Linked DNA regions of Oreochromis niloticus. The protein of the gene in region 2 interacts with the protein of the main gene of each other region in a pairwise test. Links are inferred from orthologs where the notes say so. Each region holds a gene or a part of one and is shown on either strand. Other genes may lie near its edges.

Region 1 (7,587 bases), on a different chromosome or scaffold from region 2:
CGTAATACTGCATAATATTGAAGAAATTCAGGATTAAAATTTCAAGTCCTCCATAATGCTAATATTGTTATATTGTTGGGTAACTGCAGTTTGTGTGATAGAAGTGATTTTCTTGTTTCTGGTCCTTCAGATTCCCAGTTTCTCATGGTTCTCCCACAGCCAAGCATGGTACTTGTTTAGCTTATGATCATCAGGTTTTACCTTTGACACAAGAATCGAAAAAAGAAAAAATTAAACTTGAATTTAGAGCAAACAAATGAGGAAGCAATGGAAGCAACTGAAGTAAAATAGTTGGGATTATACCCACCTGTCTCCACTCATTGATACAGAAGATCCTGTACGAGTCGTTGCCGTACTTTCCAATACCGTGCAACTCAATAGGGTAACGCCACTGTTTAGTTAGATACTCATCTACACCAGAGAAAAGGGATTGTGAGGATTTTTTTTCTGTTTCATATATTGTTACTAAAACCATGCAAAGACTACCAAAAATGAACAATAAAATTACAATAATATATATAAATAAATGGACATTGCATGTGCACAAAGGTAGTTGCTGCTGTAATCCACTAACAGGCAAGAATATCCACCTGAGAAGCGGATGAGTGTTTTGGCTCTAAGCTCATACAGGCCAAGTGGCTTCATAAGTTCAGACATGGGCTTCCAGTCGGCCTGTCGGGTCACCTCTGCAGATGGATAACGCTCAAAGAACTGCCACAGGACTGGAATGGCCATTTTACCTGTATTAAAGAAATGCCAGGGTTCAGCAAAGCTTAATGCAACATCCTGAATAATTAAATGTGTGTGTTGAATCCTACCACTGGTTTTGTTCAGAAAAACTGTGGCTACCAGCAGCTTCCAGGGATCATGGAAAAGAGTTTCCTGTACGAGGTTGAAGGGAGACCGGGGAGGTGTCCACTTCTTGAAGGCCTTCCTCCTCGGTGGGCTAAGTCCTGAGTGTGGACAGTGCACATTTCTTTAAATTACACACTTTATTTATTTCATGAATGTTGATATACATGTCCGACGTAAAAGCATCCAGTTTCCTGCATTAAACATTACCATCTCTGCTGGATTTCCCACTGAAATAAGGACTTGTTTTCCGCTTGCCTTCCAAGCTTTTGGACTCTAAGCAGACAGGAAACATTTATGGATATTAGAAGAGTGAAGCTGCTTTACATCTTTTGGTTGGGTTCAAAGTTAAGTACCTCATAAAATGACACAACAGAGAAAATCATATATTCGCTGAGCACAAAGTGGTGGAGTCCTATGATGGCTTCATTAATGCAGTAAGATTACTCAATCAATTCTGTCCTCCCTTAGACTAATGATGTGATGCACTCTCTAACAATGGACTATTATTCTTCGCCCCCTCTTTATCAGATCTAAATGTATGCATTTTTTTTTCTATTTGGAACATTTTGTGTCAATTAAGGCATTTGGTTTCTTTGATTTTTATGTATTTCTAGCTGCAAATATAGAGGATAATGGAAGACATAAATAACCACTAATGCACTGGATAAGCTCAAATTAAACAGCTAAAAAAACATGAAAAACTTTTACAAATTGTCAGTCAGTGTGGCTCATTCTTACTATTCTGGGATTCTCGAACTGGTGTACAGCTCCCATCAGTGGTATCAGGTAACAACGCATGTTCTTCAGCATCTTGACGACTGTCATCGCCAGTCTCCAGGTCAGAATTAGGAGTGTTGTCACCTTTGCTTTCATCACCTTTTTTCTCGCTCTCAGCGGCAGGTTCAACATTCAAAATCGGGGCCGAAGGCTTCAAATCTGCTTTCTTGTCCTCTTGAAGAATAGACGTGTTTGGTTGATTACTTAAAGGAGCCAGTCTGAGTAACTTCTCTCTCAGTTGGCCTCCTCTTTGGGGGCTCTTTTGCAGTTGTACATTGTCCACTTTTTCTGCGGTCAAAGCTTGTAAACAACCATTTAAAGTTTCAGTAGTTTTGTCTCCATTCACATTCACTTCTAATACACATGCAGTCTTCTGTAGTTTAGTGTCAGCATCAATATGATTTGTGTCGTCTGCCGTCCTCACTTTTCCGCTTTTAGTATCACTTCTGAGGGAGGAAGAGGCTTGTTTGGATTTATTTGGAGGTGCCTCTAGAATTGCTGTTTCATTTTCTGTTTCCTCCTGCTGTCCCTCTAAAGGCTTTTTCTTTCCTCTCCTCTGCTTTACTTTGGGAGGGGGTGCTTGTGAAGGGGTGACAACATCATCTTTGGATGTGGTGAAATCAAAGAGGCTTATGTCTAAGTTACCACTTCCACTTTCCAGGAGGAAAGTGCGTAGGGATGCTCTGGACCGGAACCTTTGCCCTTCGGGACTTAAACAACAGGAAAATCAATTAGATGCTGATCTAAGGGCTTCTGTGGTGCACTTACAGGTAACATCTTACAGAGACAAGATTGTAAAAAAGACCAAAACTGAGTCACCTTGTAAAGTAGACATCTAGTTTGCCTGCTGTCTTGCCTGCTTTCCGCTGCCTCACTTCTCTGATCCAGCCAGGGGGCAATGCGGAAGAAGGGCACAAAATCTCCCCTTCTTTGAGACTTTGATGATTCATGTCCACACTGCTCTCCAGTTCAGTATCTTATCTAGTAGGATGCATTTTTAGTTTCTTTGGAGTCCTGTTGAAGTGAAGACAACGAATAAAAAAACCTTGGCTTTATTGTTAAACTATGAACCTGTAGTTCTTGTTTTGTTCCTGCGAGTTTACTTGGACATTTACAAAAACAACACATACAAGGCGTTTGCTCATTCTACAGTTTGCTCACATAAAGCCACATTAAAAAAAAGGATTGCTGGATATTACTGGGCAGCAGATCAAAAGCAAAGAGCTAAAACGTTAACAAAGGCGTGTGCAGCATACATGAATACTGATCAGGCTTTAGATGTGCATCTTCTTGTCTCGACGTGGCTTTACCGAGTTCTTTCTGATGTCAACACAGAAGCAGGAAGTAGCGAGCAAGTGCGAGTCTGCGCAGTGCGAGCTACTCGCTACAAGAAACGGTACAGGGTGAAAAAACAGAACCAAGCGAACTGCAGCAACCTGTTGACAAAAGAACCTTTGGTGCTTTTTTTCTGTTAAAGAGCGGAAATGAGAGCTGTCCTAGCATGGAAGGAAACGATCCGTGAGCAATGGTAGGAATCTGAGTGATTAGGTTTGCGCTGTCAGCCTCGTCCCGATGCTCAGATGTAACGCTAGGTGGTTAGCAACGGTGGTTGCTATGTAAACTAGTGTTAGCCCGCTAACTAGCTTTAGCATCGCAGCGATTCCATTATCATCAATGTGTGATCTTTTATATCGCTCTCATATTAGATGTCGTGCATTATGTATTTTCCATAAGTACAGTAGCTTATGATGGTTCTTTGGTAACCGATATAATCATAGACGTAGGATCTCTAGTTCTCATTACGGTTTATTTTGTTTGTTGTGCAGAATTGCGTGCTCCTAATAACATCTTTTTATTGAAGAGGCTTTTTAAATAAGGTATTAACTTGTTTGCCATTATTTCCCATTACATTCTTGTCAGGAATTAAGGTAGTCCTGTTTAGTCTAGCATTTAAATGATCAGACTTCCCGAAAAAACAAAAACCGAGTAGGTGTTTGGAGAGATGTTTTTGTGCTGTTTCAGAGGGAGAATGGAAGTCACAGAGTAACTCATAATACTCTAATGATACAATGCCCACTAAAATGTTTATATTGTGATCAGATCAAATCACAATACTTGATATGTTGCAGGAGTCATCTTGGATAGATGGTTGTATCTGAATAGGAAAAATATGACTCCCCAAAAAGGCAAAAGCAGGACTTGTATACTTAGCATGATAACTGCAGTTATCATACTAAGTATACAAGTCCTGCTTTGTTTGAGTGAGACAATGTGGGATACGTTAATAATGCTGAGAAGTCACTTGTAACATTTTAACAACTTTATTTGTTTTCTAATAAAAACATGCTGTAGTTTTTAATTAGATATTTCCAACTTCTTATATGCATAAATGGAAGTTAACTTTTTTGGTGGTGTGATTCAATTAATTTTGAGCCACAGATCACTCACATTTTTTACTCTGACATTAGACAAAGACGTAGTCCAGTCCATCTAAAGTTTGTGACATCTGCTGGTGTCCCTACCCCCAGTGGACCCACTAGGGATTTTTATTCATTTTATCTATAGAGGTTTTAATTTCCTGGCTCAAAACTCCATGCACGTAAGCACAATTGATCCGGATATAGTCAAGTAAAAGAGTGAACGTTTTTACCAGATGGTTTAACACAGTCTTTGAGAGTGAGAGGATGCCTGAAGAATGGAGAGGTGGTACTGATTTTTAAGAACAAGTGTACAGTAACTACAGAGGGATAAAACTCATAAGCCATACCATAGCTATGGGAAAAAGTGTTGTTGAAGGTAGCTTAAAGAGTGAGGTAATGATCAGTGAGCAGCAGTATGGCTTCATGCCACGAAAGAGCACTACAGATGGGATTTTTACTTTGAAAGTGTTGATTGGAGACGTATAGGGAATGTCAGAAAGACGTGAGCTGTGTCTTTGTGGATCTGAAGAAAGCATATGATAGGCTGCCAGGAGGGGAACTGTGGTACTGCATGAGGAAGCCAGGAGTTGCAGAGAAGTATGTGAAGGTGGTGCAATGCAGGACATGTATGAGGACAGTGTGACAGTGGCGAGTTGTGTGGTACAGATTGGTTCGAGGTGAGGGTGGGATTACATCAGGGATTGTCTTTGAGCCCCTTGTTGACAAGACAACATTGTGATAAATAGTGAGAGTGGGGAGCAGTTGGAAGAGAGCTTTGAAAGGTGGAGGCACGGACTGGAAAGAAGTATAAGAAAGACAGAACACATGTGTGTGAATGAGAGGGAGACAGGTGTAACAAGTTTTCAAGAAGCAGAAGTAGTTAAGGTGGACCAATTTAAATATCTGGGGTGAACCATCCAAAACAACAGACAGTGCACAAAAGAGGTGTAGGAGAGAGCACATGCAGGGTGGAGTGGATGGAGACGCGTGATTTTCCTTGTTGTTAGGTGTAAACATTTTTTGGATGTTTTGTGTGTGCGTGTGTGATTTTGAGCAGCTCCCACTTACTGTTTTTAAGTTTTGTTACTTACTGTTGTTAACCCATTTTCACACATAAAAGCCTAAAATTTGATTAAAAAAGGTGTTTTCAGGGGATAATTATCCACAAAGCACAACTGAGTAATATATAGTTAATGCAAAGTGTCTGAGCTACCTTATGTAACAGAATCAACAGAAATGTAAGTATTTTCCTGTTTCTGCCTAAGTTGCATAAATTAGAAAAATGTAACTTATGCTCAGCTAATGTTTCCCCACTTAAAGAAATAGTTGGAGGAATGCCAAATCTCATTTAGGGGAAAAGCCCTGAATTTGTTAATTTCAGAACATTTGGTTTGATTTGTTTGCACTTGTTTGTCCTTGCTAAAGATGTCCTCTGTTTCTTCAAACTCTGAATTTTATGGGTTGTTTTTTTTTTTGGTTTATTCGGTGTATGCAAAAGAAAAAAAAGAAAAAGTCAGTGTGCTATATTAAAGAAATTCCCTAGTTCAATACTGAGAGAAGACACTGGAGCTCCCAAGCTAGTTCACTCCTAATTCCAGTCGCAAACCCCAGATCAGGGAGGGAAGGTTGCATCAGGAAGGGCATCCAGCATAAAATCTGTGCCAAATCAAATATGCAGATCCATCCGCTGTGGTGACCACTTGGGAAATAAGGTTGCAGCTGAAAGAAAGTATTAAAGAAACATTGGACACTTGCAAATTCTCACACTTATGAAACTGGAAGCCATTATTCTCCATGCTTCACAGTGAGTGTTTTCACACCGAAACAGATTGTGTGCATCCTTGCAACCTAGCAGAACTGTTGAATGTTTTCCCTCTTCATAGGAACCTGATTTTTTTAGTGTTTTTATTTATTCTTGGTTTTTTTTCACCAGGATTCTTAACGTCTATATTTCTAATATTTCTTTCATATTTCCTAACAACATATTTACTAATTCACAGTGTTGCAGTGACATGTTTTGGCTTTATCTTCACTCATAAGTTTGTGAATTCCTCCAAAACCTTCAACAGAGTTGCAGGGTTGCAAAACCTTCCCTGTGTGCATTTTGGCACACAGCAATAACGTACTTGTAAAATCCACCTCCATGGCACTGCTAGAGGTCAAAAACTCCACAGGGAACCTCCATTATATGATTTCAGTGATGAATGGATCCTCATAGCTGTTGCTCGTGAACTAATCAATTTATTGAAAAACCATTTGAACACGGATCTGTTCTTTTGGGTTTTTTTCTGCAGCGTTTATGACCTCGCCTTCAAACCAGATGGTAGCCAACTCATAATTGCTGCAGGGCTTCGTGTCCTGGTGAGGCTTTTCTCTTTTCTTTAGCCTAAAAATGCAAACATGTAGAGAATACTTTCATCGTTCACCTCAATTTCACCTCATTTTTTTTTTTGTTCCAGGTTTACGATGCAACAGATGGCAGTATTATTCAGCCTTTAAAAGGACACAAAGACATAGTGTACTGTGTGGCTTATGCCAAAGATGGTACTAAATTGATTTTCACTACATTTTTCTGTGTCAGTCATCTTATTTTTGTTCTTAATTCTTACTCAGTAGTGCATTCTTCTGCAGGTAAAAGATTTGCCTCAGGGTCAGCAGACAAAAGCATTATTATCTGGACTTCTAAACTGGAGGGTATTTTAAAATATACGTAAGCAGCGCTATTACTTATTGCTTTAGTATTACAGAGTTGTAGTGTTACACCACAGTGCACAGTCTGTACTCCTCCATCATTCTTTCTTTTATTTGTTTATCTGTAGTCACAATGACTCTATCCAGTGTGTTGCCTACAACCCAGTCACTCACCAGCTTGCCTCCTGCTCATCTGGTGACTTTGGTGAGTGCACCTCAGTGGGGAACTTTGATAAATGTGACCTAATGTAAGTACATAGAGAAATTAAACCTTGTCGAACTTCTCATATTTTTAGGCCTGTGGTCTCCAGAGCAAAAGTCTGTAAACAAACATAAAGTGAGCAGCAAAATAACATGTTGTGGGTAAGTGAAGTCTGGAGCAGCAACTTTTATGCAGCAGCAGTACATTTTCATTTGTGCATTTATGTTGCTGTGCATCATTTGCTTGCAGGTGGACAAACGATGGGCAATACCTTGCTCTGGGTATGATGAATGGAGTGGTGAGCATTCGGAACAAAAATGGGGAGGAGAAGGTCAAAATAGAGCGTCCAGGAGGCTCCTCTTCTCCTATCTGGTCCATAGCCTGGAATCCCTCCAAGTTAGTCCTAAGTTATTATAGAAATGGAAGGATGTCTCCACAGATTAACACATAGCCACATATGTTTTTGGACTGTCCTTCCAAGATTTTGAGCCAAAATTGTGGAAAATTAGATTTATTATTTAGGTGAATAGTTTTTGTAGGGCCAGCAGGGGGCAGTGTTCAACCAGTGAGTGGTGGACCTTTCTCAATGATGGACTGAATTATGATGCCTGGGAACAGCTGTCTTTGCTCTATGATTCCCCC
Region 2 (7,112 bases):
TACATCAGCTTCCTTTCTCATGACACCAAAGCTTCCTTTAAGACTAGTGGAGTTGACATGCTGCTGCAGCAGAGGCATCAGGTAACGAAGGGTTAGCAGCACCCCCAGTATTAGATGGCTGGGATGTTCATCATCCACCGGAACCAGCAGACCTGGAAAAAGGCGAAAAGGGCAAAAATTCCAAATTAGCTCACAAATGTTAACACAAATGATCTTAGTAAAATGTAAAAGGGTAGAAAAGACATGTCCACAGTCTGTGCTTGAAAGTGAGCCTGTGTGCGACCTACCCAGAAGAACATTAAGGAGCCAGGTGTAGAAGTAGCTAGTGCGTCTGGAGTGCTGGCAAATACTAACGGCTGAACTGGCTGCTGTCCGTCTAATGGTCGGGGAGCTGGACTTCAGATTAGCCACAAATGCCTTCAGCAGCACCTAAAACAGAAATAGTTAGATGATGATTACAAAAAAAAGTTTCCACTGGCCTATGATTTTTATTTTTTTTTTTCTACTTTAGCACACAGCAGGTGAATACCTTGATTTCACCATCATTGGCAAAGTGTCCCAGGGCGGACATGATCTTGGGCATTGCTGTAGCAAGTGTCTCCTGCACAGTCTCTTCCTGCCGCTTTGTGATTCTGGTGAGGCACGGCAACAGGTTGACCAGGTAAGGTCTGCGCCATAAGGGAGAGAGAAGAAGTATACATGAAGTAAAAGCAAAAAAAAAAAAAAGAATATGCAAGTAAAAAAAGCACAGATGATACTTTGATGTTGTCCCCACAACCACAGCAGACTCTAAACTAAGACATGTTGTGGATAATAGTTAAAAATAATGTAAAAATATTATAAGTTTGCATACCTGCATTTCTGCGGTCTGATGAGGTGGGCAAGCTCAGCAAACCTCCATAAAGCTGCCCTCAGACTCCGAGAGGCACCATTCTATTGAGCCACACAAGCACTGATATTACCATGTCTAACATCTGACCGTACTTTCTCTAAAGAAACGTCAAACAATTTCTTTTCACATCTAACACTGGCCTATAGTCTGAGAGTAAAGACATAGAAGGTGTATTAAAAAATACTCACTTTACAACCTCATGCCTTACCTTTTTAATTTCTTTGTACAATTCCAGCTGCAGTCTAGGCAAGTTGGAGTCCATCAGTGCCTGAAAATTATCAAAATGAATGATTAACACCACCACCAACAACACCAAACTTATTTTGACAATTTTGGTCATTAATATTCTTATTCATTTGTCCCATCTTGCAGATTTTGCTCACTTTGATTATTTTATTCAGGCACTCATCGGCTACCATCCGAACATCTGATTCACTGTCATCGCTGCAGAGCAGGAACATCTCCATGGCGATGCCAAGCAGTTTCTGAAACTCTGGAGATGTTCTATTCCCAGGACCAGAGAGAGAAAAAGCCAAAAATCTATTAAATTTTCTCAAACTGTTAACCCTCTAGCATAAACTCACAAAACTGAGGAGCAATACGTTTTTTTTCACAAAGGACATTACAGAAAAGAAAAAAAAAACTATATGTAAAGATGAACATGTCCCCACTTCATTCCCAAAATATCACAGAAATCAGTGAAATCAGGTGTAAAGCCACTACTGAAGCAGCTCTGGTTGCAAATGACATCACCCCGCACCTCAGACATTCTTTACAGAAAAGCTATCTTACCATTTATACAGTTAGTGAAGGTGATAGGAAACCCTAAAATAATGTAAAAAGATATGACTCACACCAACACATATTTAGATCAAATAACAAGGAATACCTCAGTGACTGAGCCACAATGTTTTCACATATTGTCAGACAGTGGGTCACCCTGTCCTTCTTTGTGGCAGCTTGCTCCTTTTTTCTGTGGAAGATGAGACAAAATGCAAAAGATGAGTGTGAGTGTGTGTGTGTGCACAAAGAAAGACTGAATTTAGGTATCTTGCTTATAGCCAAGGAATGCAGTGATTAAAATAATGACTATAAATCAGAGCCATCCCCTAAAACTGTATTCCTTACGCACGGATCCCATCAATTCATTTCTTTAAAAGCTATATAAATGAATTCCTATGCCTGTGTTTCAACCAACAACGGACTAGATCTGTCATAAAACTTCTTGGAGATGACGCAAGTGCAGGAAGCCCCCCTATGTTGATCATTCCATTCATAACCATTTGCATAAGCAGTTTAAATATTATTATGAAACTCAACATCCTCTGCTACTGAATACACAAAATTACGTCCTTGAAATTGATCCTCCTGACCCTTTCACGTGTTCTTGGCATCAGCTTTCTGTGTTGGCCATCATTCAGCTGGTCTGATCCTAAAATCAGGCTAGCAAACAATCAGATCGCGTTAGGATAGCGAGCATCGCTAAGCAGCGATCTAAAGCATGGCAACAAGTGTACCTAAATGGGCTGAGAAGTATGAATAACACCTTAGCCTCATTCCCAGTTTACGTTTTAGCGCAGCTGACTTGAAGCCATCTATTAAACGTTGGTTATCTACCCGAGATGGACCAACGCTGCTAGCACGATAAGCTAAGGGTCTAGCCTAACGGCTCCTAGCCTCCTATTCTGTCACCGCTGGACAAATATCAACTTACTGCCTCTGAGCGAGCTCCTCGGCGGTCGGTGGTCCCTGCTGCTGCTGGAATGACTTCAGAGACTCAAAGGCCTTCATCAATTTCTCCATGGTGGCCATTTTAGCAATCTACAATAAGCAAGCTTGCTTGACTAGCTAATATTTACTATGTGAGCTAACTAGCTAGCAGAGTAGGGGCAACTTAACGTTTGCGCACGTAGAGAGCAAGAGGTGCGTAGTGCGGCGAGAGTGCTAACACTGCTCGCGACAGCTACCACCAGCTCTCCGCCTTGTCTTCTCGCAGAGCGCCACTTATTCTTTCACACTACTATTCCTAAATAAATCAAATGCAGGTTGATAATAAGCCATCTTTGATGCAGCATTGCGTTTTCCCACCAATCACACCAGGAAGTAGCTTGTGTGACAGGTTTACTGAGAGGGGAAGGGTGCAACGTTAGCAGCCAATCAGAGTCCGGATTTTTGTTGAGTGGCTTTAGAAAGAACCAATACGACACTGTGATTTTTTTTTCTTTTGTTGTTATTGTTGCAGTCACGAGACCGCTGAAATCTGGAGTGCAGGACAGATTTGTTCAAGTGTAATTTACAAGTATTGACTTTAGTGTGTGCGCTGATAACGGTGGGTGTCAACTGATACGAGACCGTAGGAAGGAAAAACAAATGCACGGAAACCAGCCCCTCCTGACAGTTATTCGATCATTTATTCTTTTGTTAGTGCTATGATCTCTGACAAATTGGAAGAAGCAGGTAATGAATGGAGCAAATGTAGGGTCTAACGGCATAAAATATATAACTTATCTAACTTTAAGTATTTTACTCCTGATTTCGTTTCTTTTTTATTATTATATATTTATTTTTTCAGATCAAGCTAATTGCAATATTAGCATTTATTAGCAAGCATTTATTGGGATAATTGCTAATGAGTCTTTCACAGTGCTGTAGAGGAATTTTGGCCCACTCTTCTTTGCAGAATTGTTTTAATTCACCCACATTGGAGGGTTTTTTTTGTTTTGTTTTTTAGCATGAGCGACCTGTTTAAGGTCATGCCAAAGCATTTCAATTGGATTTGAGTCCAGACTTTGACTAGGCAGTCCAAAACTTTTTATATATGTAGATGTGGACTTGTTGGTGTGTGTAGAATCATAGTCCTGTTGACCCAAGTGTGCTTGGGTTTGAGTTAGTGGCCAGATACTCTCCTTCAGGATTTTCTTGTAGAGAGCAGAGTTCATGATTCCATCAATTACGATAAGTTGCCCAGGTCCTGAAGTAGCAAAGCAGGCCCAGACCATCATACTACCATTACTTCAGAATTTATTCTAATAGGCACCAAATCAAAACTGACTAAAGTTCCAACCAGAAGTTTTTCATTATCCAGTGATAACTCTGTTGTCACACCTTCCCCTCAGGTTAAGAGTCTTGGTGTCATCCTTGACAGCACTCTTTTCCTTCACATATAAATAATATCACTCAGTCTTCTTATTTTCATCTTTATCATATTAACCGCCTTTGTCCTTCAATCACTCCAAACAGTACCGCCATACTTGTCAATGCTTTTGTTCCATCTCGTTTAGATTACTGTAATTGTCTTCTCTATGGTCTGCTTCATAAATCTCTCCATAAATTGCAGTTAGTTCAAAATCGGCTGCTTGTATTATATTCCGAATTAGATCTACTAAACATATAACACCTGTTCTTAAACAGCTCCATTGGCTCCGTGTCAATCTTTAGATCCTGCTTCTTACTTTCAAAGCGCTTCATAACCTTGCTCAACTATATTTTTCTGATCTTCTCCATATGTACTCACCCCCTTGTACACTCCACTCTTCTTCAGCTTCCCTTCTATCTGTTCCACCTGCTCGCTTCCACGGAACTCAGAGCCTTTAGTTGTTCTGCCCCAAGACTTTGGAATGCACTTCCACCAGCTCTCTGGACTACAAACTCTCTCTCCACTTTTCAATTGCATCTTAACACCCATCTATTCAAAATTGCATAACCTTCATCGTGATTCCGTCTTAGTCTATTTTTACCTTGTTTAGCGTTTATACTTGCTTTCATACTTGTTTATTTTTCATTTACCTTATGTTTTTATTTTTATTTTCTTTTTGTACTCATGTAAGGTGACCTAGAGGCTCTTTAAATGCACCTATAAATAAATAAAATGCATTATTATCATCACTATGTTTGATTGCTGATATGATGCTCTTTTTATGAACCTTTGTGTTCTTTTGGTCAGCAGTGGTTTTCCCTTCAGAATTCTCCCATAGTTGCCATTTCTGCTCAGTCTCTTTTTTTTACTGTTGAATCATGAACACTAACCTTAGCTGAGGCAAATTAGTCCTGCTGTTCTTTAGATGTTGTTCTGGGTTTTTTTGGTGACCTTCTGGATAAGCTGTCAATGAGTTCTTGGAGTAATTTTGGTAGTCTCGTCACTACTGGGAATGTTCACCACTCTTCTAAGTTTTCTCCATTTGTGGATAATGGCTCTCACCTTGGTTGACTGGAATCCCAAGGACTTAGAAATGGTTATGTAACCCTTTCCAGACTGACAGATGTCAATGACTTTGCTCCTTAATTGTTCTTGAGTTCTTTAGATTGAGGCACAATGTGTTGCTTTCTGAGATCTTTCTGTCTACTTCAGATTGGTTTCTATTTACATGATTTCTTGATTAACAAGGCTGTGATTTAGCAAGAGTAGCATTGCTTTTCCACATATGGAGCGTGATGGCAAAATGCAAACTGCATCCAGGACAGAAACAACTCAATTTTGTTGCTTACACAACTTTGGCTCTTTGCAAGCATCTCCACAGACAGCATTCTAATGCTAAGATAGCCAAGAACTCAGAGTAATGTTAAAGCTGATTGAATACTGACCACAGCCCCAGATATGCTGCTTAGTGATGGTGATGACTTTCAAAGCAGAGCCAATGAGAATCGATAAGGATTTTTAATCCATAAGTGATATCGATTCCCATCCCCAGCTTCATTATGCCTTTAAACTGAAATCATTTAAAAATTGATTTTGTATTTACCCGGGTTATCTTTGTCTTACATTAAAATCTGATGAATGTTCTGAAACATCTAAGGGTGACAAATATGCAAAAAATAAGAAAAGAGGAAGGGGGGGGAAATACTTTTTTCCCCCAGCACTAGGTCATTACTTTTTATACTCTTCCAATTGATGGCCTTTTATTCACAGTAATAAAACAAAAAACACAGAACAAATAAGTCAAGACAAGTATTTTTATACAAATGGCAGTGTATTATTTCATAATTACAAATGTCAGATATGGTACAACAACCAGTGATACAACTTGTACAAGAATTAACAATGACTGCAGTGGTTGAACGACATGACTGTACAGATACAAAATAAAGAAGAAAAATCAAGAAGTCCCAGGCCGAGTTTGAAAACCCATAATCCATCCATCATTCCTCCCTTTCTCGAAAATATTACTTAACTGACAAATCTGGACAAAAGAACGTGAAACCCCGCAAAACCTCCCAGCCTGTGTCGGTGGTCATCCCAAAGCTAGACTTGAGTAAACTAAATAACTTGCGCTTCGAAACGTCGCTGGCGAGCGCCATCCCAGTGTTAGGGAAGTGGCTTGACTCACCATCAGAGTCTTGGAGGAAAGGCAGAAGAGAAGGAATGCGCTTTATGAATTCAAAGACTCAGCTGGTCGCCTTGCGATTCATAAAGATGTCCTCAGATACCAGTGAGATATGTTGGCACTAGAAGGTCATAATTTACATATACAAGGAACCTGAAGTATTACAAACTGATACATGCTTGAGTAATAAAACATATGCATTTTTCTAAACAGGCATTACAATGCACTTAGTGCGGACATTCAAAACTGTTGAGCTGTTTAAAGTTCCTTTACACAAAGGAATTTCTCTAAGAATGGACGGAAGGATAAAGAGGCTGAAAAAAGGCAGGATGTCAAAAATTAACTTGGTTATTGGCACATATAATAAAGGCTGTCAGTCTTTCTCTACTAAATTCTTCAGAAAACAAAGAAATTCTAATTTAGTTTATGTTGCTTTTGGTATCACTGGCAAAAAAACAGAAATAAAAACAAACCAACAAAAGGTTAAAGACACTTTTCCCATAGTCATTGTCAAAACACACCATTAGTGCAATGGAACGAAAAACAGAATTTCTTCACTGCTATATGGAAGGTGTAAGAGTAAAGATGGTCAAAACAATGATAGAGGCATGGGTGGTGAACACAGTTTAGTTTCCTTGTGAGAATGAGTGAATCAGTTACATGTTAGAAATACATAATTTACAAGGTTTTTGAGGCTAAAGAGCTAAAAGGCTAAAATCTACAGAGGCAAGCAAAATCAGCTTCAAATGTGCCTGAGAGCAACAACAAACGAAATAAAGACACTAAGAAACTCAATGACAAGAAGCCAGCAACAGCTAGATGCACCCATCTGATTCCTGATAATGGAATGTGCAACAGGGGACTCTTAGAATAAGCCACTTCTCCAAATTAGGCAATTA
Region 3 (6,740 bases), on a different chromosome or scaffold from region 2:
TTTTGGACTTTGAATAGAATAGAATTCAACTTTGTCATTGCACATGTCACAAGAACAAGGAAACAAAATGCAGTTTGCATCCATCCATTGGGCCTTATTGTGGAGTGGTTTACCTTTCCTAACTCTCCTTTCTTTATCAACTCAATTTTAATACGATTAAAAAAGTTTAGGGTTAAAACCCTTTTTAATCTACGTTATTTCATCACAATATGTAGAAGGGGAAATAGACACACAAATGTTGAATGCATTATTACCTAAAAGTTTGATATTTCTTAATACATTGCTACATTACTTCGCCTCTACATTCCTTATCATAACTATTGAAATTAGGTTGGAAGAGCTTTTAACATGAAAACAGAACAACTCTACCCACACAAAAAACAAGACTGGTGATTACATTAAAAAATTGATTAGGCAACCAGGTTTTTGAAAACATTGACACACATAAACCACAGAGAAGTGCTCATCTCCAAAGGCAGCCCAAACATTCTGGAGCCGAAAACATTCTTTATCACATCTATGCTCGTAAGTTCATAACTACAGCATGGTTATGGGTCCTAGTGATACAATATTCAATAAGTCGGGACAGATTTAAGATTAGGCAGTAACATATGAGACTGATGCCTCTGACAAGAAGAAAAAGATTAATGCCCCTTGGAAGGGGAGAATACGGAGTGACTGATTTTCAGGAATCTGGACAAGTACAGGGCAAAAAAAAAAAAAAAATGTCAGGCCTAAACAGCTATATACATCAGGTGAACAGTATCTCAATCATGCCCTTAATTAGAAGGGAAAAAAATCCCCAAAACATCTGACATAGGACCTGAGAGATTTGCAACAGCTTTGTTTTTCAGCACGACAATGATCCCAAACACACTGCCAATGCAGTAAAAGCACACCTAGACAGAACCCCCCCCAAACTCATGGAATGGAGTCCCCGGAGCCAGATCCTAAACATTGTATGTCGTCTGCTTTTTGTTTGACAAAGAAAAACTTAGGAAAGCCTTTCAAGTAGCCTAGAAAACCGCTTAAAGAAGTGTCAAGAGATTTTGCTGTGCTGAGGAATAAAGGCGGTCCTATCAAGTATCGACTTTCAATAGTACAGAATTGTACAAACTGTTTTTGCCTTACTGTATGTTTGCATGTCTTTCAGTAAATTGTTGCACCCATTTTCCTAGCAAAATATAAAGAAATGAAGGGATACTCAAGACTATTGCAGAGTACTGTAATTAATAGGCTTAAATTATCATAAACAAATTATATTACCCACTATATAGTACCCACTTGTTAAATAATTATGGTGCCTATTGTCCTCCTTAAAACGGGACATTTTGTGATAGAAACAAAACGGACACCAGTTTGCTCCAATAAAACTCTTCAAAAATTTATTTACAGTACAAAAATGAAAATTTACTATGGGTTTCTATGAATGGGCAAAAATAAGAATGGTGCATACAGATTCCAGTAGTGCAAGGGAACACAACAGCGTTAATAATTTTTCCTGCACTACGAAGCAAAGACAAAAAAGGAAAAGGAAATATCTTTACATCTTGTACTGCAATGTTTACTCTGACAATAAAAATGCTCTTTAAACATGAATGTTGAGTTCACATTCCAATAATGTAATGTACACTGACACATATAGCATGGACATAGATGATTAGCTATGCTTTGCACTCAGTGCTATGGCGCAAAAAATATAGAATATATAACTATAGATTGGTGAGATATCTTTATCTGTCACTGAGCACATCTTAATGTAATGCGAGCACTGTCAGAAGTAAGATCCGTCATGTATCACATAGACATTATACAACCTGAGAAAAAGTCTTCTTTGAGACAGCTGTGGCAGGTTCAAGCAAGAGATCAGTAATTACAGAATATACACCACCAACAAATCCTGTTCCATTATTTCAATCAGTTCCCGCATTTACCAGTTCAAACTTATTGCTCCATTCCCTGCAGAAACAGTTGTTTGTCCTGTTGTTGTTGTTTTTGATGATGATGTTATCTAACCTGAATGAACTTAGGCAATCAAATAAGTGGGAACGATTTACTCATCAAGGCCCTCGTCTTCCTCTTCCTGCTTGGCATCCACCTCGCTTGTGTCTGAGAACTCGTGGAGCAGCACGTATTCACGGCTGCTGAAGCCAAACTTTAGGACATCTTTTTCTTTGAGTTCATAGTACCGCTGGGGGTCGATACGCTGGTTGTTCAGATAAGTGCCATTGCCAGAGCCAAGGTCAATAATGTAAGGCTTTACCCTCCGGCCCGTGGTGCCATCTGCCCGCGTAAACTCCACCAGTCTGCAGAAATGAAGACAGAATGGTGGACATGATCTATTTGCAAATGAGGATCATGATTAAAGAGTCATTCAACATATTGGACAACAACAATAGTAAATAGTAATCACCACAGATTGAGCACGTTTTTCAATCAAAAAGAAAACCAGAGTAAAAAAAAAATAAATAAAAATTTGATGATGACTGTTCTTCCTACCTGTACTGGAATACTGCATGTTGCTTGGAGCAGGATGGGTGATCAATCGGGATATCAGCAATTCTTCTCTGTCGCCCCAACAAATAGGCACTCTGTCTGTGAATATACATGACTGGAAGAGCCTCATCATTCTTGAAAGGGTACAGTCGCCATCGGCGCTTCGGAATCCGAGCCTCAGGCGGCTCGTTGTACTTGATCACCACTCCCCGAAATGTGTTTGTGTCTTCTGTGAGTGCCCCTGAAAGTTCGAAGTTTGGCTTCTCTTTCTCAGCAGGAGCAGCGCTTGCCTCATCACCCTCTTCTTCTGACCTCCCGAAGTCTCGCTCTTGGTTTTCTTCACGTCGCTGGCGATTTTCCCTGCGTCTCTCATCTTGCTGCTGTCGTTCAGCTTGTTGAGAGGCAAGAGCATTTCGCTCCCTATGCCTCTCTCCACCGCGCTCTCTCTCTCGTGGCCTATCTGATTCCCACCTACTCCGTCTGTCCTCTGGTTGCTCATTTCTTCTTCTTCTCTCGTCGCCGCTAGCTCTATGCTCATCCCGTTCCTGTGACATATATTTAGAGAATACTTACACAGTTACATTGTTGAGTAGTTAGTTATATTATACTCCATTACCCTTCAGTATGGAAAAGTGGGCTCTATTTTGTTTGACATATTGTCATTACTGCCAGATGCCTCTGAAAAACATTAAAATGGGACAACTGTAGCCCAATGTTGGGTCTCTACACAGAAAACATACTGCCTCAGACTGTTAGTACTATCTCAAAGTACTTGGGTTACACAAGCTTCTGTGTGATAAATTCCAGATGAGTACTTTATACCACCTAGATCACTTTACACTCCAGTGGTGCTGCTGAATTGCAAACCTGAAATGTTTCCCAATAATTTTGAAACTAATCACCCGCTTTACTCTGACATCCCCATGGTGAGGACTACGACTTCTCCTTTTTCTCGGAGATCTGCTGCTTCTTCTGGCGGGAGAGGTTTCCCTTCTACCTGGTGAACGGTCCCTCGTCCTTGCAGGTGACCTAAATGAAGAACACAAGAGAGTATTAAGCGACCGTTCACATGACATTTCTCACCGTTAAGATGCAACTAGTGGCCGTAGCTAGCCCAAGTAAGTACTACAGCGATATACTCGAAAAAACGGACTCTGTCACGGTTGTCAAGTTGATCAATATGACATATGTGGCAAAATTAAGGTGGTATGATAACTTTAGTGCACACACCGGCTCGTTCCTCCTCTCTGTGGACTGGAGTTGCCGGGGGATCTTGACCTGGAGCGGCGTGATCTCTGTGGCCTAGCAGGGCTCAGTTTCTCCTGCTTTATCTTTACTTCGGCTTCACGCTCCGGACTTTCTCTTCTCCTGTGCCGCTTCTCTTTGGCCATGCTTAAAATAATTCTCTCAAATCGACCGTTGTATAACCTAAAAAGCATACATTTTCAACCACACCACTGTATGTACAAAAAACAAAAGCCTCGGCATGTAACAAACTTCACCCGTTACGCCGAGATCACGCACTTCCGCTTCCTGAGGTTCACCGAGAATTAAGCTCCGCGTGTGTTCATGTTTCACGTTGGTTCCGACATGAGAAGCCGATCAGTTTATTTCCTGTACAGCCTAAATATTTTAGTGTATTGAAAAAGCTGGAATATTCTTTCATTATTTACATATTCGTTTAACACACATTACTTTTACTAGATGCAGCCTCTAAACACAATAAAAAAGGCATAGTAAAAGTTGCACAATGTGGTAAAAGCAAAACAACAACAACAACAACAAAATCACATGCCCTTGGGCTTTTTAAAATAATTTTTTTTTAAAAAAATACTGATAAAAATGTATTTATCTCAAAGGGAATTTATAAAAAAAAAAGTGTCACTAGCCTGTACTCGCTGAAGCTATGCGCTGATTCCGCTCGCACACATTAGAACGTAACGGACGCTGTTGCCAGGACAACCCAAACAATGAGCGTGAGCTTTCTGTAACTAAAGGCTAAACCAAGAAGTTTCCAGTTTTACTGTATAACTTTATTCTATCCCTCTATTGTAAACGACAATGATTCCTCCAGCTGACACGCTGTTGAAATACGACAATCCAGTTCTGGTCAACAAAAGCACAGACAGAAAATCACCAAAGGTGAGTTTATCAAGCCAGCCGTGTTTATGGCACAAATCTCAGGGATAGATTTGAGATTAATGTAAAAGTTATGCTATTCAAAATCCCGGCAGTCTGATTAAATCTTAAGATAATTATACTTACATCTACTAATATATTTGCATGCATATATAGTTACAAGGTGGTTCTGTAAGGTGTATTTTATAATAGATTTACGAAAATGTATCAGTCATTTAAAAAATCAAATCAGGGTAATAATATGTTTGTCTGATAGTTTATGAAACATCTGTCACTACAGGGACGCCCTTTGAAAGTAAGCCCTCAGCAGCCCATTGACTCTACACCTGTTCCACCACCTCCTAAACCAAAATCAGCCTCTACTGAGGCTACTAAGCAGGAAAATGAGGAGATCCTCAATTTAATCCTCCCACCCAGGTACAGTTTTTCCTATCTATAGCATGTTCTTCAGCAAGTTCAGAACTTTTCAAATTTTCCTCTTACAGGGAGTGGATGGAGGGAAACCAACTGTGGGTGCAGAAAGTATCCAGTACACCTTGTACAAGAACAGATGTGTTGCACCTAGAGGAACTCCTAGACACAAAACTCCAGGAAAGACAGGCCAGAGAAACCGGCATCTGCCCTGTCCGCAGGGCGCTCTATTCCCAGTGTTTTGGTAAGGAAGAAGCTGAGATGTTGCTGATTATAGAAGGTACAATCAATGCATATAAATACAATTAATCACATACGTTTTCTTGTCATTCTTTCTTTTGAGATGAATTAATCAGACAGGTAACCATCAACTGTGCTGAGAGGGGTATGCTATTGTGGCGGGTCAGAGATGAGATTCAAATGACCATTGCCGCCTACCAGACCGTCTATGAAAGCAGCATAGCTTACGGCATGAGAAAGACACTGCAGGCTAAGAAGGGCAAAGCTGATATGAAAAACAGAGTAAGGATATCATGTTCCTTATGAGTTACAAATACAGGGTCACAAAATATATATACATTTTAATACTAGGCAATTTATAGATGATGGGAAATTTACTTTGCCATTCATGTAGTTCAGCTGTCATTTAGCTAGGAGTCCAGCAGAGAGCACCATTTCTCTATTTTACAGTTACTGTACAATGACAGTGGCTGCAGTGCTCTTTACAGGATTGACCCCGCATCAATAACAAACTCACAAGTATGCTTTGGTATACGGGCAGATTTTGGAGCTAGAGAACGAGAAACAAGAACTGAAGAAGGCGCTGAATGAAGAGAAGGCTAAATGTGAAACAGTTGAGAAGATAGAAGCTGAAAAACGACAGCTGGAAGAAAAGAGGCACAATGAGGAGATCCAGCTCCTAAAGAGAACCAACCAACAGCTTAAGGTGACTTTTTCAATTACACATCAGAGAATAATTATTGTAGATTGTATTGTCTAAAGATTTCTTAACCACCCATCTTTTCTTTTCAGGCCCAACTGGAAGAGATAATTGCACCAAGGAAGTAAAAAAAAAAAACCCCAAAACTTAGCTGGCATTTCTCTGTACAAGATTGTATTCATTTATAATTCATCTTATTGCTTAATGATACATTAAAGTAAAAACTTAGTGTAATTTACAAATGTTTTATTGTTCTGGCATAACAAGTACACTTCAAACAACTACTGCAGATTGCTCTTGAACGTCAAGAGAGCAGTACACTTGTAAATGATGAATGAAATGTCATTCAAATACAGTTCTGCACTGAGGGGAAAAAGTTATAACAGTCATGAAGATAAGGCATCAAGTTGATTAAGACCACCTTAGTGTTCCACCTTCTGCCAACCTTTTTTTTTCCCCAATGAAAATAGCATCAGGCTAATTTAAATACAGATTTATTACATGTGTGTTTTATTTTATTTTATTTTATTCAACTCCAGTCTAGTGCTTCGATTTCTTGGTATTTTGACCTTCTGTGCCTGATGCTGGGATTTTTTTGTTCTTGTTCTTGTTCTTCACATTGTGAGTTTCATAATAACGCACGCCAACTTTCTTCGTCCTCTGAGCACGATCCATTGCTCTTCTCTGTAGAGAAAGATAAAAGAGAAATAGAAGGAAAAAAAAAGTGAAATCTTCTTCTAAAAAAGACCAGAGC
Region 4 (6,886 bases), about 23 Mb from region 2:
TGGGGCAACGTTCCTCTTCCAAAAGTCCAGCAGATGGTCTCACAGTTCCCAGATGTTTATCATATGCTACACAGTGGTAAACATGGTCTAGTCTCAGCTTCTTTTTTCCCCAAGTGCTGCTGCCATCAAATTCAAAATGAGCCGGTATTTTTCTTAAAATGGTACATTTTTCAGTTTAAACATTTGATATGTTTTCTGTGTTGTTCTGTGAATAAAAGATGGGTTTCGTGAGATTTGCAAATCAGTTTTTATGTGCAGTTCATACAGCATCCCAGCTTTTTCTTTTTTGGAATGGGGCTGTACCTTCCCAATTCTTCTTTGTTGGCTAAAGCTGTTGAAAGCAAATTCCCAGCATAAGTGAAGACAAGCCCGCCGTCTCACCTTCTGTAAAACAGATGGATGACGGGGTAGTGATAGAAGTGGGTTTGCCTCCTGCATTTCCCCTGACTCCACCAGCAGTTAACAGCCACAAACTGCACCTGTGTTTGTGTGTTTGAAGAGACACATTAAGAAACAAAGATGAGCAAAATGGTGTGTAGACTACACACAAAACAGTGTAAAATCACACACTGTAATGACTCATTTACTTAACAAACAGGCCCAAAACAAGTCGACTATGAATTTGCATTTGAGAGACACAAGCTAAAAATGTGTGAGTGTGTATTTAAGCTGAAGGGAACAGATTGTATTAACTCAAGTATATCAGAGTCACTCTTTACTGCAGTCTCTCAAGCTGCTCCTATAAACTCTTCCCAATATGTTGCGTAACAAGCGATAACATAACATGCATCCACGTAAGAACAAGCCCCAGTTTCCTGACGCCTCCTTAGTCTTTGTCCAAGTAAAGCACATCTAAATATTTGATGTTTAAACAATCCTGAGTGGGGGAGGTTCCGTTCACTTGTACCTGTTTGGCCAGCTTCTTAGCGACCTGCTGCACTTCCTGTCGCGCAGCCATAGAGTGAGCACACCATGGTGCATAGAAGAAAATAAAGGACACCTCGGCCACACTCCTGAGACGCTCCACCTGTGAAGAAAAAAAACCCCTTTCAGACTCACAGAGCACCACAAGTTTGATTACGACGACAAAACATTTAACTGGAGTTTTAGAAACTCTCTTGGCTCTTTCCATTTGTTCTCTTTTACAATTTGAGCAAATGAAGTATCAAACAAAGGAAAATACAGTGATTGCCATCAAGTCTGAATCCTTGAATCTCACCTGGTCAAGCTGGCCCAAGTAGAGATCCACCACCGGGGCGTCAGGAGAAAAGAAACGCACCGGAGGCCGAGCTGCTGCCACCACATTCTTAGCACGACTACAGAAATAAATGAGAAGAGTAACGCTGAGGGGTGCAAAGAGATCACAGTCACATAATAAGATAATATTCAGCATATGTAAAGAATTCAAACAATCTTGCCAGGTTATTAAATCCATGAGCTACAACTCTGTGTCACTTCCATGAGATTCGCTCATCATGGCAGTGTGTCCATCATCGGTTGATGTGAGTGCTGCAGTAACCTCCAGCCTTGCATACTACTCTGAGTTGCACATATTGGAATATGCATGTGTTAAATTTGGAAAATGAGAGTAGAAGCAATGGTATTTGGAAATTGAGGGTATTCTAAGCTGATGTACGAGGGGAGGAAAGGCTATATCTTTGCATCCACAGAAAGCAATGTGAAAAACTCTGCTGTGTTTGGGGATGTTACACATTCTGCCTCCCCCAGAGGCTATGCAAAAATGTCTACATTGTTACAGCGGGAGCAAAATTACCTCAGCATGACGAGAAGCAGAATTTGCCTGGTATAATTTGCGTGGAGTCGGTTTCAAATTTCAGTCTTTGTGGCAATTATCGTCTCAGCTGGATTTTCGAGAGGGCGACTGAGTAACTGCTTAGCCAACAAGTCAATCATTCAGCAACAGTTGCCACACTTTTACACAATTGAAGGATTCCAGCACTTTCATTCACCATAACTGAACGACAAGTGGTATAAGCTTTGAAGAACCTTAAAGTTGCAGAGGCCAAAGCTGCAAGATGATGACAGCACAGTGTGTCAGGGATGTCACCAGATATTACTATTTAAACATTAATAATCTCATTATGATCTTCCTGCAGTCTTTTCTGGGTTTTATCTGAGTAAAAAACGCCCAACATTTCCTTGAAAGATTAATGCGATGTCCTTAGTTAATCTCATTGTCTACAGTACACGTCAGTTTTAGATTAGCAGCACTAATAATGAAGCCCTTGTTTGTAACTACTGCAGACAGCGAGGAGTAGTTCATTCACGACCTAACAGTGTTACAACGCCGCTCTTCGCTCACCTGACTAACCATTCCACTTAGTTTGTGTTTTAAGGGGTCTCGTGTTAGCCTGGTCACACACAAGCAAGCTCGCGCTGTCAGAGGATAAACAGAAGCTCGTGCCCATGTTTACCTGCACGTGAACTTGACGGCCAGCACGAGCAGGACGCCGAGCACGATAGCCCCGCAGAGCAGATCCGGTCTCCGGGCCATCAGAAACAGCACCTGCCGGAGAGACTGCCGCACCCGGCGCAGCATTACAGCTTGTCGTCGCCTCTCCGTCCCATTTATACGCCCCGACTACCGCTCAAAGCATCCATTTGCCTAACGGGGGGGAGGGGGGATGGGTGAGGAAGACTGGTTCGACGGAAACAGCTAACCTGGATTGGACATGAGCAGTGCTGGTGTGCAAGGTGTTCAAATACGGTCAAGCCAACCTTTCTTCCACACGTAGACTTTTCACTTCCGCAACAACGATACCAGGGGCAGGATGTAAAATCCTCTACGCAAATAAAACGCGTAGTGCGTTTAACTCTTTAATGGCTGTCTGAGTTTAAAAATGTTACTGACAGTTAGTTTACCGGATGTTAAAGATGAACGACACGATTCGTAATAATTATAATGTTTAAATTGGTCCCCAGTAAGCGAATTTATTCCTTTTTCCGTATGGCGCAAAACGCGCTCTTTTCAGACCGTCCCTACGTTGTTATGGCGACAGCCGCTGCTGCTACGACAGTCGTAAAACACTAGGGGGCGGTTGTTTTAAAAATGAATCGATAAAACTTTATTTAAATGCCGCTTATTTACATCTAGAGTAGAATTATTTAAAGTGCCCGGGACTTTTTGACTGATTGTGAGACAAAGAAGAGACGAGAGAAACAGGTTGGCGAAAACTCCTTTCTCGTGTTACTTTTCTTCATATTAAAAATCACTGCATCAAACTGATTCAGTTTATCTTAAAATAACTGAACACTGGGTGTGTAAGTTTTTAAAAAAAGGGTCTCTATACGTACTGAGAAATTGGGTTGTCTTAGTTGGGGCTACTTTCTTAATAATCTTGTGTTATTCACCCAAATATAGTAATGTTGTAAATTGTTAGGCCCTTTTATTACCTTATCACTACTTACTCTTAATTATTGTGACATAATTTTAAGACATTGGCTGTCTTAAATGTCAAATGCTCATAATACAGCTAAAACAATACATGTAGGACATGAGCATCACAGTTCTCAGGCTGTGATGCTTGACATTTTATATTTGGGATATCATGTCTGTAGAATATCCGGATCTAGAGTACTGTGCAAATGTCTCAACCTATTACTCTTTTCTTTAAATTTTGCTATGAAAATGGGAAATGGGGACAGTGATTTATTGAAACATGAGCAAACACACTTGAAAATCCAGTATATAAAACAAAAACAGTTTGTACAGTTCTAATGTATTTGAAAAAAAAAATACTGCGACCTTCTTGATTTTTTTAATGCAATGTCTCTTGTTCTGTTCTGTTTAAAGATGATCCCACACTGCTTCAGTAATGTTGAGGTCTGGGCTCTGGGAAGACAAATAGAGGACTGATAGTGTTCCATTGTGTGTTTTTCCATCCATGTATGCTTTTACTGCACTGGAGCTGTGTGTGGGATCATTGTCACCATGAAAAATTAAGGCATTGCTGAGATCTTTTCCAGATGGAATTGCATGGTGGATCAAAACGGTAGTTTTCTGTCTTCATAATTCACTCAATTTTGACAAGAACCCGAGCACCAAGGACTAAAATGCAGCTCCAAACCACGACAGAGGCCCCACCATGCGTTACTGATGGCTGTACACACTCGCTTTATTTTATCAGGCCTGCCACTTCCTGCTTTTGTCTTCCACTTGTCCCCACTTGTCCACTTTCCTCCAATTTATTAAGGACACACCATGCTAAGACATGCCAGGTATTTAACTAATAGCTCTTTGATTCAGTTGGTTGATGCACATGTACAAACCTCCTCCATATCTCTCAAAGTGCTTGGTTTTTTTTCTTTTTTTAAAGCATTTTCACAGATTCAAGCAAAGAAAGGAAAATAAAGTATGCATTTTTTTTTTTAGGCAGGGAGTAACAAAGTGCCAAAACATACATACACAACTTAAGTTGTCTCTTATTCGTAGACGAAACACTGATTCATCATGCATTTTAAATCCTTGAATGGTTCCAGAAGTGGTTTAACAAAAAAATAAATCAATTCTCCTCTGAAAATGATCAGGTACATTGACTGGACTGCAAATGGGTTTTTGAAAGATCTTCAGAAAGCCTGGAGAATGATTGCTTAGGGTTCCTTTAAAAATTACAAGAAGGTGCCTTGAAAGCAAAATAAAGACATGAGTGGATCAAAACTTTTGCACAGTACTGTAAATTCAGTTATACCCCTAATGTTAATGGCAATTTATGGCATTAGTTATTAGCTTTTACTCACTGACTTTTGATAGCTGATTGTTTATACAGTCTGTATCTGTATGAGAACTCTGATGACTAAAAAATAAATAAATAAATAAATGAAAAAAAAGCACTGAACTTGAAAACATCAAATATATATATTTATTTTTGAAAAGTTAATTTCTTTACTTTGATATATTCTGTTCCTGTGATGATAAATATTTCAAGGATTTTTAGATAAATTTGATTAACTTATGTCTCATGAAAATCATAAACCTGTATCTCACATTATTAAAATATTTCCTACGTTAGCAAAGGATTTTAAATCAGGAGCCTTTAAAAAAAAATGTTGTTTTATGCACTCAGCAGTTGGTTGAGGCTCCTTTATCAGAATGAATCAGAATTTAGAAAGTCATTTATATGTGGCTATGAATACTCCTTCAGATTTAATATAAATCTTTATTTTGTAAAGTATCATTCAAGAACAAAAGAGCACAAATAATAATAATGATAATCATCATCATCATCACAGTGTAAGATTTTTCAGTGCAAATGAACATATTAAAAAAAAAAAAAAAAAAAAAAAAAAAAACCCACTAATTTCTGATTAGCTTGGTCCACCCATGAAATGGAAACATATACTGTGAATTACTTGAACAATTTTTAAGAAGGGCAACAATATTTCTCAGCAGTGTGAGCAAATAAAAACAAAAAATATATAATATTTTAAAAAAAGGAGAAGTTATATGCATTACCTAAATAAATTTTAAAAAACACAATATTAAAAATTTCAAATCTAAGCATCACAAATCTTGTGAAGGCAAATGCTGGAACCGCCGGAACAAACTTCATAGAACATTTGTTCCGCCAGACTGTCTCTGTTTGCACTTGGAAGGGCGCTAAAGCCTGAGAGGCCAAACAGACTGCTGAACTACAAACCTCACTTGACACTTCTCAGTCATGTTACCAAACATCACAGAATGACTTCTCACACAGCTCTGTAGATCACCGAGATCACAATCACAGTGAAAATGTAAGAAATGCATCAGAATTTATGCAGAGTTATAAATACTGCTTCAGATTCTGGATGGATAATCCTGAAGCAGCCTGAGGTTATTTTTCTAAAAGTAGATTACATGCCAGAATGATATTTGATAACAGATGTAAAAACATGTATCCTTATTTGTTTTGTTCCAACTTCACTTACTCTGTATAAGCATAAAAACGCATGTTCTATTGGACTACAGCTATGCCAGGGCTACAAAGCTTTCAGCACCGCGTCGCGAGTCCAATCTTTACTCCAGTGAGTGTTGAAACACGTCTTATCATTCCGCTTACCACCCTGGACCGTTTAGGCATCGTGGTTTGTGAATGCACTGTGGATGCAAAAAGATCACTGCAGTGATCAACCCAAGTCAGACACTATTACTTGTTTCTCACCTCATTGGTTTTGTTTCTCCTGCAGTAGTCTGGTGCCTCTATTGTTCAACACGGCAACCATCCGGCAGAGAGACAAATCAAGAACCAAGACAAATTCCCCAACAGTAGATAAAGCCAGTCTTCAATGCGTTTACTGCTAAAAATAAACACTTCTCATCAACTTATTTGCTGCAAATTGTCCCACATCAATTGGGCACCTCCTCATCCAGTGCCGTCTGTCACAATGCTACTGTTTCAGGGTGCATTAACTGCTGCACCACCAGGTCGATATTAATGATGGGACTGAAGTAGAGTGCCCAGTAGAAGAGGCAGTTGCACACAAACTGTGGGACAAAGGGCCAAAGGAGGGCAAATGCAAATCCCTGAGTTAGCATTTTCCACAAGTGGCTCCACATCATTTGTGGAAGAGTCCTACAAAGAGAGGGAGGAAACAAGTGTTATAAAACCACTACAACCACTACTCAACAGCTATCAACCCAAATCTTGTACAGGAGACGCTAAATCCAGTTCCAGGTAATACACAACAGACAGTATAAAACATGGACATAGTCTCTAGGTCTGAAATGTAAAGCCACGGCAGAAGTGCCATAAATCTTTCTAACAGCCAGCAGGGGGCAACTCTGGCTACAAAAAGACTTGCAGTTGCATAGAAGTCTGTGCTCCATTAGTTTTCATTAACCAATAGGTGATGTCACAGTCACTACATCCATCTTTTGTACCGTCTGTGC

Evidence for each region.
Region 1: the proteins of htt (region 2) and mbd4 interact in binary tests that used the Homo sapiens proteins (3 or more experiments, as listed by UniProt). The link is inferred for Oreochromis niloticus from reciprocal best matches to the Homo sapiens genes HTT and MBD4.
Region 3: the proteins of htt (region 2) and dnali1 interact in binary tests that used the Homo sapiens proteins (3 or more experiments, as listed by UniProt). The link is inferred for Oreochromis niloticus from reciprocal best matches to the Homo sapiens genes HTT and DNALI1.
Region 4: the proteins of htt (region 2) and txndc11 interact in binary tests that used the Homo sapiens proteins (3 or more experiments, as listed by UniProt). The link is inferred for Oreochromis niloticus from reciprocal best matches to the Homo sapiens genes HTT and TXNDC11.

The regions. Positions count from the first base shown.
Region 1 is NC_031984.2:14,358,768-14,366,354, forward strand, and holds the start of mbd4 (methyl-CpG-binding domain protein 4), read right to left. Parts: upstream 3,010-7,587; 5' UTR 2,889-3,009; intron 2,647-2,888; 5' UTR 2,583-2,646; coding exon 2,452-2,582; intron 2,343-2,451; coding exon 1,594-2,342; intron 1,129-1,593; coding exon 1,063-1,128; intron 954-1,062; coding exon 819-953; intron 741-818; coding exon 591-740; intron 412-590; coding exon 308-411; intron 202-307; coding exon 127-201; 3' UTR 1-126. Other genes in the region: ift122 (intraflagellar transport protein 122 homolog), read left to right, coding at 3,117-3,160, 6,347-6,413, 6,512-6,596, 6,684-6,762, 6,872-6,948, 7,040-7,106, 7,195-7,341. UniProt on the Homo sapiens protein: Mismatch-specific DNA N-glycosylase involved in DNA repair. Has thymine glycosylase activity and is specific for G:T mismatches within methylated and unmethylated CpG sites. Can also remove uracil or 5-fluorouracil in G:U mismatches. Has no lyase activity.
Region 2 is NC_031971.2:34,423,616-34,430,727, reverse strand, and holds the start of htt (huntingtin), read right to left. Parts: upstream 3,012-7,112; 5' UTR 2,705-3,011; coding exon 2,607-2,704; intron 1,866-2,606; coding exon 1,782-1,865; intron 1,397-1,781; coding exon 1,276-1,396; intron 1,161-1,275; coding exon 1,101-1,160; intron 934-1,100; coding exon 854-933; intron 669-853; coding exon 530-668; intron 430-529; coding exon 288-429; intron 153-287; coding exon 1-152.
Region 3 is NC_031976.2:27,044,037-27,050,776, forward strand, and holds dnali1 (axonemal dynein light intermediate polypeptide 1), read left to right. Parts: upstream 1-4,418; 5' UTR 4,419-4,557; coding exon 4,558-4,638; intron 4,639-4,915; coding exon 4,916-5,052; intron 5,053-5,120; coding exon 5,121-5,290; intron 5,291-5,389; coding exon 5,390-5,568; intron 5,569-5,827; coding exon 5,828-5,992; intron 5,993-6,078; coding exon 6,079-6,114; 3' UTR 6,115-6,220; downstream 6,221-6,740. Other genes in the region: snip1 (smad nuclear-interacting protein 1), read right to left, coding at 2,054-2,306, 2,500-3,041, 3,399-3,525, 3,727-3,935; gnl2 (nucleolar GTP-binding protein 2), read right to left, coding at 6,527-6,670. UniProt on the Homo sapiens protein: Involved in sperm flagellum assembly.
Region 4 is NC_031971.2:11,026,465-11,033,350, reverse strand, and holds the start of txndc11 (thioredoxin domain-containing protein 11), read right to left. Parts: upstream 3,010-6,886; 5' UTR 2,740-3,009; exon of another isoform or gene 2,627-2,739; 5' UTR 2,561-2,626; coding exon 2,436-2,560; intron 1,317-2,435; coding exon 1,220-1,316; intron 1,028-1,219; coding exon 908-1,027; intron 480-907; coding exon 382-479; exon of another isoform or gene 304-381; intron 1-303. Other genes in the region: bifunctional apoptosis regulator, read right to left, coding at 6,377-6,569. UniProt on the Homo sapiens protein: May act as a redox regulator involved in DUOX proteins folding. The interaction with DUOX1 and DUOX2 suggest that it belongs to a multiprotein complex constituting the thyroid H(2)O(2) generating system.